Linked DNA regions of Arabidopsis thaliana. The protein of the gene in region 2 interacts with the protein of the main gene of each other region in a pairwise test. Each region holds a gene or a part of one and is shown on either strand. Other genes may lie near its edges.

Region 1 (8,086 bases), 1.9 Mb from region 2:
TCTACACGATGTTGTGGATAATCAGGTAGGCATAAAATTAAATAACTAGAACATGTATATTTATTATTACTGAAAAGCAGTCAATTTTTACTACAACATTCTTAGTTCTATTATTAATTGTTTACAGAAAACATAAGATTGCTATCAAAGTCTTGTTAGTTATGTTGTGAAACCAATCTCTGAAGACCTAACATAACGCAAGTTAGTTATGTTTGCAGACAAATCCATCTTCTCGTCCGTTTAATTGTTATATGATCGGACGGTCATTATTTCTCATTAACTTCTATTTAAACTGCAAATCTTACCACGTTCATTTGATCCGAATTAACCCATTATTCTACACGTGTTTGGTACACACAATTACAAACCAAAACCAATGACCGGTTATTCTTCTTTTCGTGATTCAGTTTATTTGGGGTATAATGGTCTATTTTCACTCCAAAAACAAAGAAAAGTGTCTCAACCTTGGAAAGTGCCTGTTTTGTCTAAACTTTTTCCCAAAGTGCCTTATTACGGGACATTCCCTTACTATAAAACCTAAGAACCGATTGATTTTATAGTTCCAAGGTAAAAACGAAATTTACCACTAAGAAAAATGTCGAAAGTGAAACTAAAAAGTAAAAATAAAAACAAAGGCGGTGATAGTTTTTCTAGTAAACAAAACCGCTATAAACCGAATTGACCGAACCAGAATTAATTGAATAAAAAAGTAACCGAGTCTTAATTGTCACATAAACCCTAAAATTTTAAGGACTTGGTTACTTTCACAGCAAGGACCGAGAGATTTTTCAGAGGAAGAGAAAAGGGTTTGAAACAATGACGTTGACGATCTCCGATCTTCCAAGGGATCTGAAGAAGAAAATATTCTCAAGAATTCCGTTGAGATATGTGAGAGCATTGCGATTAACCTGCAAAGAGTGGGAAACTTTAATCAAAAGTCGGAGCTTAAAGATCGACGAAGAGGAGTCTCAGATGGTCGCGTTGATGGATTACAATCTTTGTTTAATGAGCAAATCCTTTAATGGAGGAGATCCATCTACAGAGATTAAAGGCAAACTTACTTGCTTTGACGAACAAGTAAAGGTATCTATGTTGTTTCATTGCGAGGGTTTATTGTTATGCATCTTGAAAGACGATAATACTAAGGTTGTTGTTTGGAATCCGTATTTGGGGCAAAGAAGGTTTATCCAAGTTAGATTTTCACACATCCCAGGCGGATGGGACCAGTTCAGTTACGCTCTCGGATACTACAAGAATAATAATATGATGAAATCATTTAAACTCTTGAGGTTTTTTGATTATTTCTATACCTCCAATGATTTTGTTTTCTATGAAATCTATGATTTCGACTCTGGTTTATGGAAAACTCTTGATGTCACTCCATACTGGCGTATAAGGTTTTTTGATGATATTGGCGTTTCTCTCAAGGGAAACACTTACTGGTGCGCTAAAGAAAGGAAGCCAGAGTGGAACGCAGACCCTTTTATCATTGTTGATCACATCATCTGTTTTGATTTTACAAGTGAGAGGTTTGGTCCGCTTGTGCCTTTGCCGTTTAGAGCTATGAAGGAGAGTCTTGTGACTCTATCTTGTGTTAGGGAAGAGAAGCTTGCTGCTTTATTTTGTCGCGATGTTGTTGTTGAGGTATGGATTACGACTACGATTGAATTCGATAAGGTGTCGTGGAGCAAGTTTTTGACCTTTGGTGTGCGTGACTGCCCGATGATTTATTCTTGTACAGGGAGTTTCTTCATTGACGAGGTGAACAAAGTCGCCGTGATTTTCGGGCAACCGTTGAAACGCGACAAAGTTTTCATCATTGGAGAGGCTGGACAAGTCCGAGATGTTGATCTCGGAGAACCTGCCCACCAAGATAGTTGGCTATATGTGTGTCCTTATGTTCCAAGTTTAGTGAAAATCAAGCAACCTCCAGGATGCAAAAGGAGAAGACAAAGCAGTTCAGAAAACCGTCGATATAAGCGAAACATGATGAGACTTGTCGAACTTGAAAAGTATCATATTGCCATGGAACCCAAAAGAGGAGACAAAACAATATGAGAGTTTTGCAGCAATTATGAAATCGATTGATGTGCAGGAAAAAACTGGCAAAGTGAGAAAACGAGATGATTAAAATTATTCATCCCTTTCATTTCTATTTTACGTTACTTAGATGAATAAAAAAGAGAAATTTAAAGAGTTTTTTCATCCACTAAAATAGAGATGAATAAGTTGGAGAGGAATAACACATTATTCAGTGCAACTGATTAATCAATGATCATAATGAACTTTTACTTGTTACTTGTTATAAAGCCATTATTGTCTTTTTACAAACGAACCAGAGTTGTTTTGTTTGCAGCTTTATCAGATACATAGATTGGTTTTGTAAGCCGAATCAAGTAATGATCGTCTTATTTGGTAAACAAGAAACTAAGAATAAAAAGACTTAATTAAAACGTCTGATTCGATGCAGAAACAAGCAGCAAGTTAAGAACAGACATAATTCGTGATTATGACATATAAAAGAGTTCGCTCCTCTAATCCTTCGCGTCAGCAATGCCTCCTTGAGTAATCTGGAAACTGTGATTTCTTCAGTTAAGGAAAAAAATGAAGTCATTGCATTATATGAAATAATCAAAAACAAAGCAAGTGTGTGTGTGTGGATTTGGTTAAAAGGATATGGCTTCAGCTTCAGCGAGATTCGGAGCATCGTAGACTTTGCAGACACGTGTATCGCCTTTGCCTTTCCTGAACAAGAGCCTGATGGTGGCTGCGTGAGCTAGTACATGACCACCTGCTGGCTTTTTTGGGTCTGATATGAACATTCCACCACCTGGGTCAGCTATGACTGCAAACCACCAAATGAAACAGATGATACTTGCTAAGTTAGTGCAACCAAGAAACAAAAAAAGAATTGATGCTTTATCTCATTATATCAAACTAGTGTAAAGTAAACCTTGGTTAGTCATGTAGACAGCAACGTTGAACTCCTCTGCAATTTTGATTAGCCTGGAAAGCATCTGAGCTAGTTTTTGCTGCAACACAGAAACTGGGACTATTGAGCAAAGCCAGATTGTGCCAATGATAATGTAAGTAATGTTGTGGGAGGCAAGTTTAACCTGGCGGTCTGCGAGTTCTCCTCTTCCAGTGAAATCCACTCGGAATAAAGCAATGATCGAGTCAACAATCTGGAAACAAGGTCAGAAAACTCAGCTAATTTAACTCATATTTGAATGGATAACTAAACTAAAATTATCAGACATGTTTTACTTACCAGAATCCTAAATGGTTCCTCAGACATTTTTGCAGCAAGGCCAAGAAGCAAGTTGTACTGATGCTCATAGGTATAAGCACGAGCATAAATGATCTGTTATATCAAGATGAATAAGATTTTTGAATGTCAGTCACAGTCCTGAGAGTAAGTAAAGATGTGAGGTTAATAATGCTTACATTGTCAAGCACAGCTCCTGGATCCATTCCAAATCTTTCAGCAATTGGGACAATCCTATCAGGACGGCTACAAAATTTAGGGGTTAAGGAAAAATCATGGAATATAGAAACAATCTAATGAAGACACAAGATCTGGTCAGAAGATTTGTTATAAGATATTAAGGATACAAGGTTCCCTCTGTGTCAATGTATGCCACTTTTCCATTCCCTCCTTTCATGTTTGTAGGTAGCTGTAATACATCAATACAGAAAATGAATACCAATGACATTGAGAGACAGAGTACCTCAATGGTTTATATGCTGAAAGAAAGTAAAATCTCATCTCATGCCTCTGAAATGTAAACAAGACAACATATATTTCATATTGAGACTGTAGGAAAGAAACCAACCTGCGTAGTGACACAAAGGGTATGTGCTAATTGGGTTTTCCCAGACCTGAAGTGAAATTAAACTCTATAAGAATACAAGCTATTAACAGGAAACTTATAGAGCTTGGCTCAGCTGTTTCTCACCTAAATTCCCCAAAAGCCTCTGTGATGGCTGAGGTTTCAATTCCACCTAGCAAGAAATGTGAAATAATTAAACCAGAACTTAAGTAGTGTGATCAAGATGGCAAAAATCTAAAGCAAAACTTAGCATACCTCCTAAGAGATCATCGAGAGCTTGACACCCTGTAGTGATTTTTACAACTGATTTCCTCTGTAAACAATTAAAAAACAACTTGTAAGTTTCAATATCTAATATGAAATGTTGAATAGGATATCAAAATCTAATAGTTCTGTTAGTGGGATCAAGCAACAATGAGTCTAACCTTTATAAGAGCATCACTTCCAGTCATATATCCAAAGTTCTGAAGGAGAAATGGTTTGACAATTAAAATGACGCAAATGCAGAAAGTAACACTGATATAGCAACAACAGATGGAAACGTTAAACTTACCACAATTTTCTCAGCAGCTTCACAGATTTTGTCAACTTTGGCCTCAGATAAACCTTTGATTCCAGTAAGGTTCTGCATCAAACATAAGTTTAAACAATCGACTCATGCAACCAACATCTACATAGTATAAACCCAATGAGCAAAGCTAAATAAGCTGGTTAATACCTTCTTGGTATGCATCATGAGACCATTGCAGGTATGGATCCCAGCTTCTTGTAGCTTTTTCACATCTCCTGCGTTTATACCTTGTGCGATCACTGACACAAGCAAAAATAAAAGTCCCGAGATCAAATCAGCTAGAGATTTTAGCCAGATACAGAAATCAAACAACTATGTACACTAATATACACTCGAATTCCACAAACAGTAAACGAAATGGACCATAAACTATTCGTTACCAAGGAGAACCATGTTCAGAAATCAATATCGATCCTAGATTCATACTTAAATTCGAAATCTAACAGAGATTGCGAGAACATTCCTCAAATTAGATGAACGATTCTAGATCTGATTTCATAAGACCCAGCGATTAAGCAACAACGAGGTTTAGATAAACAAAAGTGGGCGAAATTAGAAGAGATAAACACACAGAGACGATTCCAAAACAGATGATGAAGATTTGAAACGAAAAAGTGAAGAATCGTAAAAGTTGAAAACGAATTCAAATCTTACATTTGTCAATCATCTCAAATAGATCTTCGTCTTCATCATTTTCTTCACGCTCAACGAGCTGCATCTGGCTCGTTTCTTCAGCTCTATGAATCCGAAACAACACAAACAGATCAGGATCATCGGAAAACAAAATAAAAACGAGAAGAAGCGAGTCAGGTACACAAAACTTAAGACAAAGCTTAAACCAAAACGATGAATGGAGAAGAAGAAGAAGAATCGTAGTAGAGAGAAAGAGAGAGATCAATCACTTACTTAAGAGAAGCCATCATTTTCTCGCTCTAAGAGTCTCTAAGCTTGGAAGAGTGAGAGAGATAGAATTTTGAAATTCGAAATTTGAAAATCTTTGCTCGATTTGCTTCGAGGGTTCAAGGTTTTTAATGGCGGGTTACGGAATTGAAAGCGTGATTCTAATTCCGTTGATTTGAATTTGGGTTCCGCAACTGAATTTGTTTTCGTTTGTGTGCTCTTCTTTGTTATACATGACTTTGTTTGATGGCTGCGATAATGCCACGTCATAGTTATCATCCGTCTATCGACGGTCAATAGAAGGAATCTAGGTGAAAAAAAGAGAATATTACACTCTTAAACACTTTTTTAAAACTATTTCTGTGTTTAGGCACTTTCAAAAGATTAGGCACTTTTTTATGTTTTTTTACTAAAATACCCTCTTAACTAAAATATTATCTTAACCCACGTTTTCTCTCTTTCTCTCTCTCTCTTCATCTCTCTCTTTCTCTCTCTCTCTCTCTTCATCTCTCTCTCTCTCTTCACCTCTCTCTCTCTTCATCTTTGTAAAAAATGAGAAGAAACTTCTTCTTCTTCAACAATGGCGGTTTGATTTGATTTTTGCTCTCTCTCATGTGTCAAACTCGTTTCATCTACGTAGCATCGAGATTTCAGTTAATCGAATCTCCTGTTATCATGGACATGTTATATAAAATGGATATAGATCAGTAAAAAGGTTTCCGAATGGATATATTTAAATGGATTCGTTATTATGGACACCAAAAAATTGTTTGTTGATTTTTTTTTCAGTTTGCAGAGACCTCCACCTTCAAAACCTTATGGACATGGAACTTTGGTTTCTTTACAAAACACGGTTAATCGAATCTCCTATTATTATTGACATGGTATATAGAATGGATACGGATCAGTAGAAAGGTTTCTGAATGGATATATTTAAATGGATTTGTTATTATGGATACCAAAAAATTATTTGTAGCAAATCAACCGCATATAGCTTGTTTTTAGGATGTTAGACATGCTTCTCCAATTCTTCATCTTTTACTCTTAACATGTAAGACCAAAAGATTTACAAATCTCACCATATCAATCCATAATATACAATCCATGATGCGTCATCCATAATATGTCATCCATGATTCATCATCCATAATGTGCCATCCATAATTTGCCATCCATAATGGACATCACCAATAACAAACGCCGTAAGAGCTACAAACACATCCTTAGCCACCAATGAAGATTTACCAAACACAAATAATTCCAATGAACAAGATTTCAACAAGAACACAAATTCTTTTTAAGAAAACACAAATAACCCTAGTCATACAGAATTACTCGCCAAATCAATGAGAACACAAATGCCTTGTAATAAATCACAAATAACCCTAATCATCTAGAATTAGTCGCCAAATCTTACTTAAATTAGATCCATCTTGATATCTCTTCTAATCTATGTTGTATGCTTAGTTGTTTCCTATTGATTCCCAACTTGATTAAAAACGAAATCACCAAACATAGCCAAAGAATTCGCCAGAACTCCATGACACTCTTCCGTAGCCAAAGAATCGTTCATCATAAACAAACAATCAAATTTTTTTAATCCATGGAAAGAAATCACAAACCTGTCCAACACAAGGAGATCCTCCTTCGTCTAGAGTAACCATAGGAAAAACCTCCATTTACTACTATTATCATGTTCATGAGGAAAGTTGTGTGGATTAAAGAACTTCACAGAGAATAATCGATTAATTTCATGAGAAACGATTTTCAACATCTCTCTGCTTCGTTTTTAAACTACTATGGATTTATGAAAAAACGATCTTCAGGAAGGAGAAAGGGAGAAACGATTGTTTTTTTAGAGAGAGAGATTTAGTTCTAGAGACGAAGAGAAATACCTTTTTCTAATCAGATTTTAACATCAAAAAATTAATCCATTTATTGTCTTTAATCTCAGCCATAGATCTTAATTTTTATTTTTCAATCTAATGGTCTATATTAATAACTACGTATCTAAATTCTTTTATTTTTTTAATTGTTTGGTTAAGATATATATTTAGTTATTGTTTTCGATTGTTTAGTTAAGAGGTATAAAAGTCAAGTTTTCCTTCAAAAAGAAGGAAAAGTGCCTCTAACTTGGAAAGTGTCTATATTGTCTAAACTTACGTTTAAAGTGTCTTATATTGGAACATTCCCTGAAAAAAATTAGCCACTTGCACTTCATAACGGCGCACATTAGACATTTGACTCACATTTTATCGATAAAATCAAATGCATATAGGCCCATAAGCCCAGTATACTAATTATTCGGATGCATATAGGACCATAGGCCCATTTTACTGAAATTACAGAAAAATAAAAATAATATAGATGCATATAGGCCCAATCTAATATTTGTTTGCGGATCCACTAATCAAATTAATTTTAAAAAGTTGGGGAGTTTAACCAACGATCTCTATTATTACTAGAAACTATACATTTCTACCAACTATCATATTATCCTTTTGAAATATTTATCCCTCGAAATTGTATATATTGTGAGACCTGATCAAGTTCAAGTTTAATTTGTTAGAGCTCATGAAAGTTTATGGTGACAAGCCATTAACACCAACTTTGAGTTTTTTTAAGATAAGTGTAGTGAGGAGTCCCAATGTCGTCGAATCAATAGTAAAAGATAGCGGTGCCTAATTCATGACATATAGACCACATGTCATTTGACAAAGAGATATGATCCTTAACCCTTAGAAACAAAAACCCAAGCTAAGATCATAGCTAATATTTTCAA
Region 2 (8,854 bases):
CTGTCTCAGCTCTCTGATCTTCACGGTTTGTTGGTTGAGGCTGCTGAGATTTTGAATATAGAGGCTCCTGATCTATATGTGCGACAGAGTCCTGTTCCTAATGCGTATACGCTGGCAATAAGCGGTAAGAAGCCGTTTATTGTTGTCCACACCAGCTTGATCGAGCTTCTTACTAGCGCGGAGCTACAGGTAAGATATTTTTTTCTGCATTACAAGTTCAATGCTTTTTGATTGAACCCACTTTTGAACCTAACCATAGATACTACATATTGGCTAATTTTACCAAAATCTGACAGTTTTATACCTCAAAACTAGGCTGTCTTAGCCCATGAACTAGGCCATCTGAAGTGTGATCACGGCGTGTGGCTCACATTTGCAAATATTCTTACTCTTGGGGCTTATACAGTTCCTGGTAGATACCACACTCTTCTACATGTCCAAGTCACTTGTATCTACTGTTCTGTGTCAGTCTGACAAAATTATAGTGACTTCATCCCGGAAATCTATTTATCGACTCACATAAGTTTCAGTTTGCAGCCGGCGTGAAACTCTGTTATTGTTACTAAACTGGATTCTGTTGTTTGTAGCTTTTGGGCAAATGATAGCTCGAACCTTGGAAGAACAGTTACTTCGTTGGCTACGTTCAGCAGAGCTGACTTGTGATCGCGCAGCACTACTCGTCGCCCAAGATCCAAAGGTACCAATTCTAAAAAACAAGAAGAAATCAAACAGAATGCGAAAATACCTAGTGATGTTTATGTTATTGTTCTTATAATCTCTCTTATGTCGCTTCCAAGAGGTTGTTGTATCTGTTCTGATGAAATTAGCCGGAGGATGTCCATCAATCGCTGATCAGCTAAATGTTGACGCATTTCTAGAACAAGCCCGTTCATATGACAAAGCTTCTTCAAGCCCCTTGGGATGGTACATAAGGTGAGAAAATTAAAACTATACAAAATTTAGATTATTCTTCCTTCAGATTCACTTCTTTGTTTGTTTACATATTTTCCTTTTCTACAGAAATGCTCAGACTAGTCAACTTTCGCATCCATTGCCGGTTCTTCGTGCACGTGAGATTGATGAGTGGTCCAGGAGTCTCGAGTACAAAAGTCTCCTGAAACGGGCAAATCGAAAAAGCACAGTACAGAAGGTTTAGTGACGTTGTTAAAGATTTAAAAGGAAGGAAGCGAAATAAACATGTATAGGTAAGTTTCATATAAGCACACATTTGTATATGAACCTGAGTTTTTACTTTTGTGGGTCGTTTTAAGGTTTGTCTTGAATTCTTGGACAGGAACAATACAGAAGGAGCAAAGAAGAAATGAGAGATTGGACTCTAGGTCTAAATAGGTACTGTAAAACTCTTGTATTTATTTAGTGGCATACTGGCATTGTTGTATATCTTATAACTGTAATAGATAAATTCAAATGTATATTCCGGAAAACAAAAGGGCCTTAGCTCAAAGATAATATATGATAAAGATTGTTTGTATAACTCACCTGTCTCAGTCTTAGAGGCTTAAACTACCAAACTGATTGTTCCAATTTTCATAGATTCCAAGTTCGTTCTGAGAAACAGAAGGCCTTACTTCTTGCAATGCGTCTTTAAAGTCCTGCATAATGACCAAATATATGAAACAATGACAGAAACAAAAAGAATTCGTTTAGCTTTACATGTTTGTATTCACAGAGTTCGCATATCATCAATTTAAGTTTGACCCGAAACATGATGATACCACAAAAAATCTTCATTTTGATTTTATGTACCTGAAGAGTTACTAGACGCATGTCATCTTTAGTCAGGTTAGTTATATCTATGCCTCGTTTGAGAGCTTCTCTTAATGGACCCATAGTTGCATCTTTCACCAGGTTCTTCATATCTGATCCCGAGTACCCTGCAGTGAAATTTAATGAAAAGCTAGCTTGGTTATGGCCGCAAATGTGTATTTGCATTTTTGGGTTGTGTTCTTTGGACTTTAAAGATCAAAAATCCAGAGATTTATTGTGTTTCTGAAGTTCCTATGATGAATTTACCTTCCGTTAGGTTGCATATGATGTTCATATCATCATCCGACAGAGTAAACAACCCATCTTTCTTTAGGAGATTCTGTATTATCCATGCTCTTGCTTCTTCAATTCGAAAACAGAGAATCGTGTCAAGAGAGTATATTAGACGAAAACCAGAGAATGACATGAAAAAGTTTGTTTATCATTCTTTACCAGATGAAGGAAGAGGAATGTAGAGTCTCTTGGTTAGTCGTCTTCTTGCTGCTTCATCGAGCTCTTGCGGTCTATTTGTTGCTCCTAACAAACAAAAAAAATTAGCAGAATAAAGTTACTAAACCCCATATAACCCACAAAACTCAAACCTTACTGTTCCCAGTTTTTTACCTATTAGGAGAATTTGCTCGCTGCCACTGTCGAAACCTTCCATTTCAATCAGGAATTGTGTCTTGAGTCTTCTACTCGATTCATGTTCACCATCTGACTTACGCTGTGGCAAAGGGTGAAAGTTCGTTTCTTTAATAGAATGTTACATAAGGAAACCAATACATGCCAGAAAATTGTCTTTACTGAACCACCCTTTGTAATTTTTTCCAGCCCTTGTTCTACGCTGATAGGTTTGAGGGTTTATGAACATGTAATATTTTGAGAGATTACAACAAACCTGAGATAGTAGAGAATCTATTTCATCGACAAATATTACTGCAGGCTGGCGGCAACTCGCAACTCCAAAAAGGGCCCTCACTAGCTTTTCACCTTCGCCAATCTGCATTTACATTTGTGATCGTTAAATTTGCAGGTGACCGTAAAGCAAATGAATAAGCATGCTATAGACATCTTGAGCAGGAACAAAATCACTGACATACAGAAAATGGTACGGGTTTCCCTGCTATGTAGAAGTTCTGACATAGTGGAACATAATTACTGTCGTAATTTTACGAATATCCATGTGAAAGTAAGCAAAGAAGTGGAACTAACCCACTTGCTTGTCAATGAACTGGCTGATATATAGAAAAAGGTTGCTTTCGCTTCTCCAGCTATAGCTTTTCCAATCATTGTTTTACCAGTTCCCTGGTATGCAGTAGATACAGATCTAAGAAAAAACAGACACGAGTGTCATTTCATCTTAAATATCAAAATGGACAAGGGTACCTACTGGTGGGCCAAAGAGAAGAAGTCCTTTTCCAGGTGAACGACAACCTTTGAAAATGTCAGGACGCAACAATGGCCAAATGACCATCTCAGTTACACACTTTTTAGCATGCTCCAGACCAGCTGCACATCAATAACTTATGATGAGAAACTCCAGGTGCAACAGGGATAATAATATACACTGCACTGAAACATCTTACTGTACCAATATCATCCCAGCGGACATTGGGGTCTCGATCCATAATCTCGTTGCTGACATGCTCTATAAGACGAGGTTCCAAATTTCTCAACTTCTCGGGAAGCTCACCATCAGGACCACAGAGCATCTCCAAACTAGAACAGGATAGTAAGTAAATGGGCATGCATGTTATCTCATAATATAAAATTAATCTTTTCAGGCTTACAGGCGTAGAAGGCTACTGGATAATTAGAAACTTATGTGAAGTAGCATTCTAAATAAGAACGAGGGCCTAACTGGCTAACCACCAGATGAGTGTAGACGCTTAAATTGCTAGTCCTATTGACATGCATATACTATTTTTTATTTACTTTTCATAGTGTTTCAATGTGAAATAAATTCAAAAAATGTTTAATATAGAAACTTAGTTAGAGAAGGGCAGAGACAGGCATAGCCTATCTAGGTGAAAATCAAGAAATATTGACAAGAAAAACAGATTACATAAGCTTATTTATTGTCGAAGGTGAGGATATAAAAAGGGTGCATGTGCTTTCCAGTTTGCTAAGGATCTTGAATCAAAATAAGAAATTACGCAACTAACCATGTTCTGGTTGAGTCATCCAGTGCATCGTCAGTCTTTCCACCAATACGAGACGTCAAGTTTCCAACATTATTCCCATTAGTTTTAACAGGAGGGACAAAATTACTACGGTATCCACGTCTTAATCCACCCGACCTTGAACCATAGCCCCTACCTAAAGCATTTTTGTCACTCTGTGGAGAAAGACATGAACTTGGTGACTCAGTTGATCCTCGTTTTTGTCTTACATCCATTTCCTAAAGCAACAGATATAGTAGTCAACATTAGCAAAGGGTAATAAAGCACAGTTCGAAAGAAAAGACTCTGCAAAGTCAAGATGACTCTAAGAGAAGTAATTGTCATGAATAAATCTACCAGTTTTATTTTGGCGGATACAAATCCATTAGGAGCTCCATCTTCCTTTACTTCCCCATCATTTGCAAGGCTACTGGTTTCTGCATGAGGTCGCTTTGTTCCAAAACCAAATCCATGACTTCTCTCAACAATGACACATTCATCAGAGGCACGGTCTTGATTGTTCACTGAAGTTTTGCGCTGATTATCTGGTTTACCAATACTGTTTCCATACAATGATGTCAGTTTGGCTTGCATCATTGACTTTGGTGCTTTGGGAATCAACTTATCCGTATCATGCCGTTCTTCCTGAAACAAGAAAACATCTATGAAATCATAGTAGAAACAGGAAGCAAGACATATAACATGGCTGTGTTTCCAAAACTCATCACCAATACTAAGATCATTGAAGAAATGAAGCAGTTTACAAGAGCATTACCATCTCTTTAACACCCTTTCCGTTAGATTGACTGACATGAAAACCAAAGTACTTAGACTGCTTAATCTTTTCCACATCAAATCCACCTTTGCTGCCAAAAATTGCCCCTGGAGCTGTATTTGCAAGCTCAAACGCCTTCCTGGATACAACAAGAAGCACACCATAAAAGGGTACTCTAAAAATCTCAAGTGTAGCTAATATTGACGATAATTCAAAAAGATCTTTAGATTTCAGCTAGTAACTAAGTGAACGAAGTCCAAAGATTAGAGAATATCACTCAGTTATACATTTCCCTGATTCCAATACCCAACAATTCAAGCCACACTCATAAGACTCTACTAAGCTAAGCAAGTAAAATTCGAACCCTCTCTTCTTCGAAATTAAACAGGCTCAAAGGGGAAAAGCTCAGGTACCGATCCGAATCTGAAACGAGGCCTTCCAAAGCTAAATCAATCTTAGAGGCAACTTCACGACGAATGGGACCAATGAAATCACGATCGGCGTCAGTGACAGAACGAGAATCGAGGAAACCTAGAAGACGAAGCCCAAGGATCTGAGCAGAAGAGAAATCAGATTTCTCCAGGAATTTGTCGGCGCCGAAGAGCAGCGATTGGAGACGCTTCAAGTTCTCATCCACTTCCTTTCTCCAACACGGCGTCTCCGTTTCTCCTTCCTCCTTCACATTCAGAAACTCCGGTGGTGGTCTCAGTAACGGAGAAGAAAACGGCGACGAACGCTTTCCCGCCATTATCCTCTCTTCCTCTTTCCCCAAATGCCCAAAACCCCAGAAATGAAATTCAAATTCGCGCTCAGAATCTGAAACCACCGACCCACACATTCCTTTACTCTCTCACCAGCTTGACGCGTAGAACGTCATGCAGTGTAATAGTGTAGATAGAAACGGCGTGTAGTTTCCTTAGAAATCAGTTGCTTATCGGGCCCAGTTTCTTCATGGGCAATAGTAAGCCCGTTATTGTCTGTATTTTGGGTTTTACTGTGTTTCGGATATGCTTCCTCTAAACTTTCGTCTTTATTTTTTATATTTTTACATAGAGAATATTAGGCACTTAAAAATCATTAGGCACTTTGACTAATTGCAATTACTTGTTTACCCTCAAATCGTCGGTTATATATAACCAAACAAATCAAACCCATTTTCATTAAACCAATTCCGGTTACGAAACCCACGATTTTGATTTTGCAGTTACCATAATCTCTTGTTTTATTTTTTCCGGAACTGTAAAAAAAAACAAATCCAGAAAAAACCTAAACTACAGTTTCAGAAAAGGTGACTCCGACGACGGGATATCAATCTCCTCCGTTACTGTCTACCACCACTACGGTTTACACTACTTTCTTTCTTCTTCTCTCCACCGTAAAACTCCAATAATCGATTTCGTAATCTCAACCACTTTATACCCTTGTGACTTCGGCGAGGGGATATCAATCTCCTCTTTAATGGATTTGGATTTCGTTACTCTAATTCAACTTCAATTGAGTAGATTTCGAGAAAAAGTTCTTGAATTACTAAGGTAAAGTTATGTGATGTTGGGTTCTATATTCTTTGGTTTATCCAATTTGATATGGCGTCCGCAAATATTCCTCGATTCGAATCTTCGGCGATCATAAATCTTGCACTGAATACTATGGAAGAGAAGCTACCAAGATCGCTCAAGAATCTCGACTTGAATACGAACCTTGTACCAAAGATTAAGATTCTTCTTTCAGCTTATCTATCTTCCTCACGTAAGTCTCACTTTCAACAATTTTTTTTCTCGAGCTGGGCTAAATTTGGTGTTAAGCATGGCTGGTGATATTTAGGAGTTGGAATTTGACAAAGTTTTCTACTAGTTTGCTTCAATCGCTGGAATGTCTCCATTGAAATCGAAACCTCCATCTCTTGTGAGATTATGTTATTAGGAAACATTTAGAGGAAATGATTCCTTGTTTAGCTGAAATCTATGTTATATTTCCATAAAGCGACGTTTATGTGAACAAATTTATGTGGACTTGTTATCATGGATATGTTATGGACAAATTAGTATTTGAAATTGTAATTGACGGTTGTGTAACGGATTGTGTTATGGACTCACCATTCTCGTAACATGATTAAAGATAATGAAACGAGATTGACTATTGATAATTGTGTGTTTATTAAACTTTCGCACCGGTGAAGAGATTAGTCCCTTGAACTTGTGATTGTTTATGTTATATCTTGAGATGTTTGGTATTTAAAATCAAACTTTGACTTGTATTTAAAACTTAAAATCCAATCGAGAAGATCTAGCAGTGTTAAATGAACAGAGCTTTGTGGACAACGATATTTGGACACGTTTCTTTTTACCTTCCTCTCGTACTTTACTTGAACTTGTCTCTAAGTTTGCTGTCAAATTATATGGCTTTTTGAGTATTTAACGTCTCGTCAATGCCAAAGTATTCATATCAAATGAACCATTTCAAGTGTATGATCCAATATAGATTAATTGAACACCAAAAAATTCATTATATGCTTCTATTTCCAATGTTGTGGTATCCATTTTGTATTGTCCATATGAACAATGTACTTTTGCAGGTTCGGTGACCATTTTTGTATGTTGGTTTCCTCTTTTGTACCCAAAATAGTTTCCATCGACTATTAACTCAAAAAACTATTTTTTCAATCTCTTTTTTTCAATAATTTTGGGTTTTGGTTATCCTTATAAATCATAACTATTCTTCAATTTGTAATTGATCCGTACAAGTATAACTATATATGGTCAACACGAAATGGTCGCTTGTGGATGGCTACTTGTAAAGTGTTAGAGTATACTTTGAGACCTGAGATGCACATCAAGAAACTTGGTTACATATCATTGTTACTTAACTGTCTATACACATGTGGATAAATGGTCATAATGGATAATGTACTTTGGATTGACGTTTATTGTTCCTCGTATAAACTTATGTATTAGTATGAAACTACCATGTGAGTTATTAGATGACCATATGGACTAGACTGCTTGGATAGTTTCTTGTTCATGTATAAACTTATGTATTAGTATGAAACTACCATGTGAGTCACTAGATAACCATATGGACTGGACTTCTTGGACATTCATTAATGGACAAGTATGTCTTTGATTTGCTGCGAATGTGTTTATAGCTCGATAAAATTAACACTTTTTTGTTTGCTCATTCAACATTAACATTGGAGTCCAACTCGATCAAATTCTTAGCACCATCATAAAGCTCAATGTTTATACCAGACAAGATCAACATAAGCCACATTGAGTTTAGCTTTGTTCACTCAATTTTTTTTTTGCCGTCTGGTATAATATTAATTGAAAAGTCAAAACAGAGTATAGAGCATACATCCATAAAAAAACAGAGCATGAAAACTCCAAACAATAACCAAAGGTAAAGAAAAAAAAAATCCAAAGGTAAAGAAAAGAAAATTTCACAAAGTCATCATCGCTTGTCTTCTTCAATTCTGGAAAGTAACCATCCAGGGCCTCCTCTAGCTAAATAAGATCTGAAACGACCATCCCTTGTCACACTTATAGCAATGTCCCTTGCTATTGAATTCGCCTTTGAGGATGAAACCTTGAAAATGACTCGAAAAAACCTGGGAATGAGTGAATTAAGTAAAACAAAAGGACTAAATCATAGAAATTCTAATGTCATATATCTAACATCTTCTAAGATGCCTCTCTTTTCTATACGAACTGGCCGCAATGGGATCAACATCACACTGATATCATCAAACGAGCCTCGTGAAGCCGAGAGATCAACAAGCTTCTTACAAGCTGCTAACAACAATGGCTTCTCGGTTCGTAAGCAGAAGGGACGAGCAATGTCTACTGCTTCTTGGTTACTCACCTTATCCCATAAACCATGTGATGCCAAGATTAAGAACTCATGGTCATGCTCAACTCTCGAGATCTTTGTCTCTGGTTCAGCTATAACCCATTTCTTAAGTTGAGCATCTCCGATTCCTCTTGGCACAACTAAGGATCCCTGGATTCTCCACAACGTGAAACATATCAACATATCCTCCCGTGGTTTCAATTCTTTTCCGTTCATCATCTCTAGACGGACAATGATCAGAAAATAAAACTTTAGCTACACCTCCTACACTCATAACAGCACGACAGTCACCGGCGTTTGA

What was found. Proteins that work in one complex are often made in the same cells at the same time.
Region 1: the proteins of AT3G27120 (region 2) and DMC1 interact in a two-hybrid assay, tested with the Arabidopsis thaliana proteins (one study listed by BioGRID).

The regions. Positions count from the first base shown.
Region 1 is NC_003074.8:8,095,414-8,103,499, forward strand, and holds DMC1 (DNA repair (Rad51) family protein), read right to left. Parts: upstream 5,520-8,086; 5' UTR 5,328-5,519; coding exon 5,311-5,327; intron 5,142-5,310; coding exon 5,059-5,141; intron 4,644-5,058; coding exon 4,552-4,643; intron 4,459-4,551; coding exon 4,387-4,458; intron 4,298-4,386; coding exon 4,259-4,297; intron 4,147-4,258; coding exon 4,089-4,146; intron 4,006-4,088; coding exon 3,960-4,005; intron 3,883-3,959; coding exon 3,837-3,882; intron 3,678-3,836; coding exon 3,616-3,677; intron 3,515-3,615; coding exon 3,448-3,514; intron 3,365-3,447; coding exon 3,272-3,364; intron 3,186-3,271; coding exon 3,117-3,185; intron 3,033-3,116; coding exon 2,954-3,032; intron 2,846-2,953; coding exon 2,679-2,845; coding exon of another isoform or gene 2,667-2,678; exon of another isoform or gene 2,626-2,666; intron 2,580-2,625; coding exon 2,535-2,579; 3' UTR 2,265-2,534; downstream 1-2,264. Other genes in the region: AT3G22870 (F-box and associated interaction domains-containing protein), read left to right, coding at 817-2,058. UniProt on the Arabidopsis thaliana protein: May participate in meiotic recombination, specifically in homologous strand assimilation, which is required for the resolution of meiotic double-strand breaks. Mediates interhomolog recombination during meiosis.
Region 2 is NC_003074.8:9,998,737-10,007,590, forward strand, and holds AT3G27120 (P-loop containing nucleoside triphosphate hydrolases superfamily protein), read right to left. Parts: upstream 5,571-8,854; 5' UTR 5,546-5,570; coding exon 5,121-5,545; intron 4,847-5,120; coding exon 4,708-4,846; intron 4,578-4,707; coding exon 4,290-4,577; intron 4,172-4,289; coding exon 3,936-4,171; intron 3,490-3,935; coding exon 3,362-3,489; intron 3,280-3,361; coding exon 3,161-3,279; intron 3,076-3,160; coding exon 2,983-3,075; intron 2,771-2,982; coding exon 2,669-2,770; intron 2,495-2,668; coding exon 2,392-2,494; intron 2,305-2,391; coding exon 2,221-2,304; intron 2,131-2,220; coding exon 2,035-2,130; intron 1,896-2,034; coding exon 1,768-1,895; intron 1,614-1,767; coding exon 1,512-1,613; downstream 1-1,511. Other genes in the region: AT3G27110 (Peptidase family M48 family protein), read left to right, coding at 10-189, 316-412, 588-697, 800-933, 1,021-1,156; AT3G27140 (Protein phosphatase 2C family protein), read right to left, coding at 8,155-8,289, 8,380-8,703, 8,804-8,854. UniProt on the Arabidopsis thaliana protein: Involved in DNA double-strand break (DBS) repair via homologous recombination (HR). Limits class II meiotic crossover (CO) formation by regulating the invasion step of meiotic HR.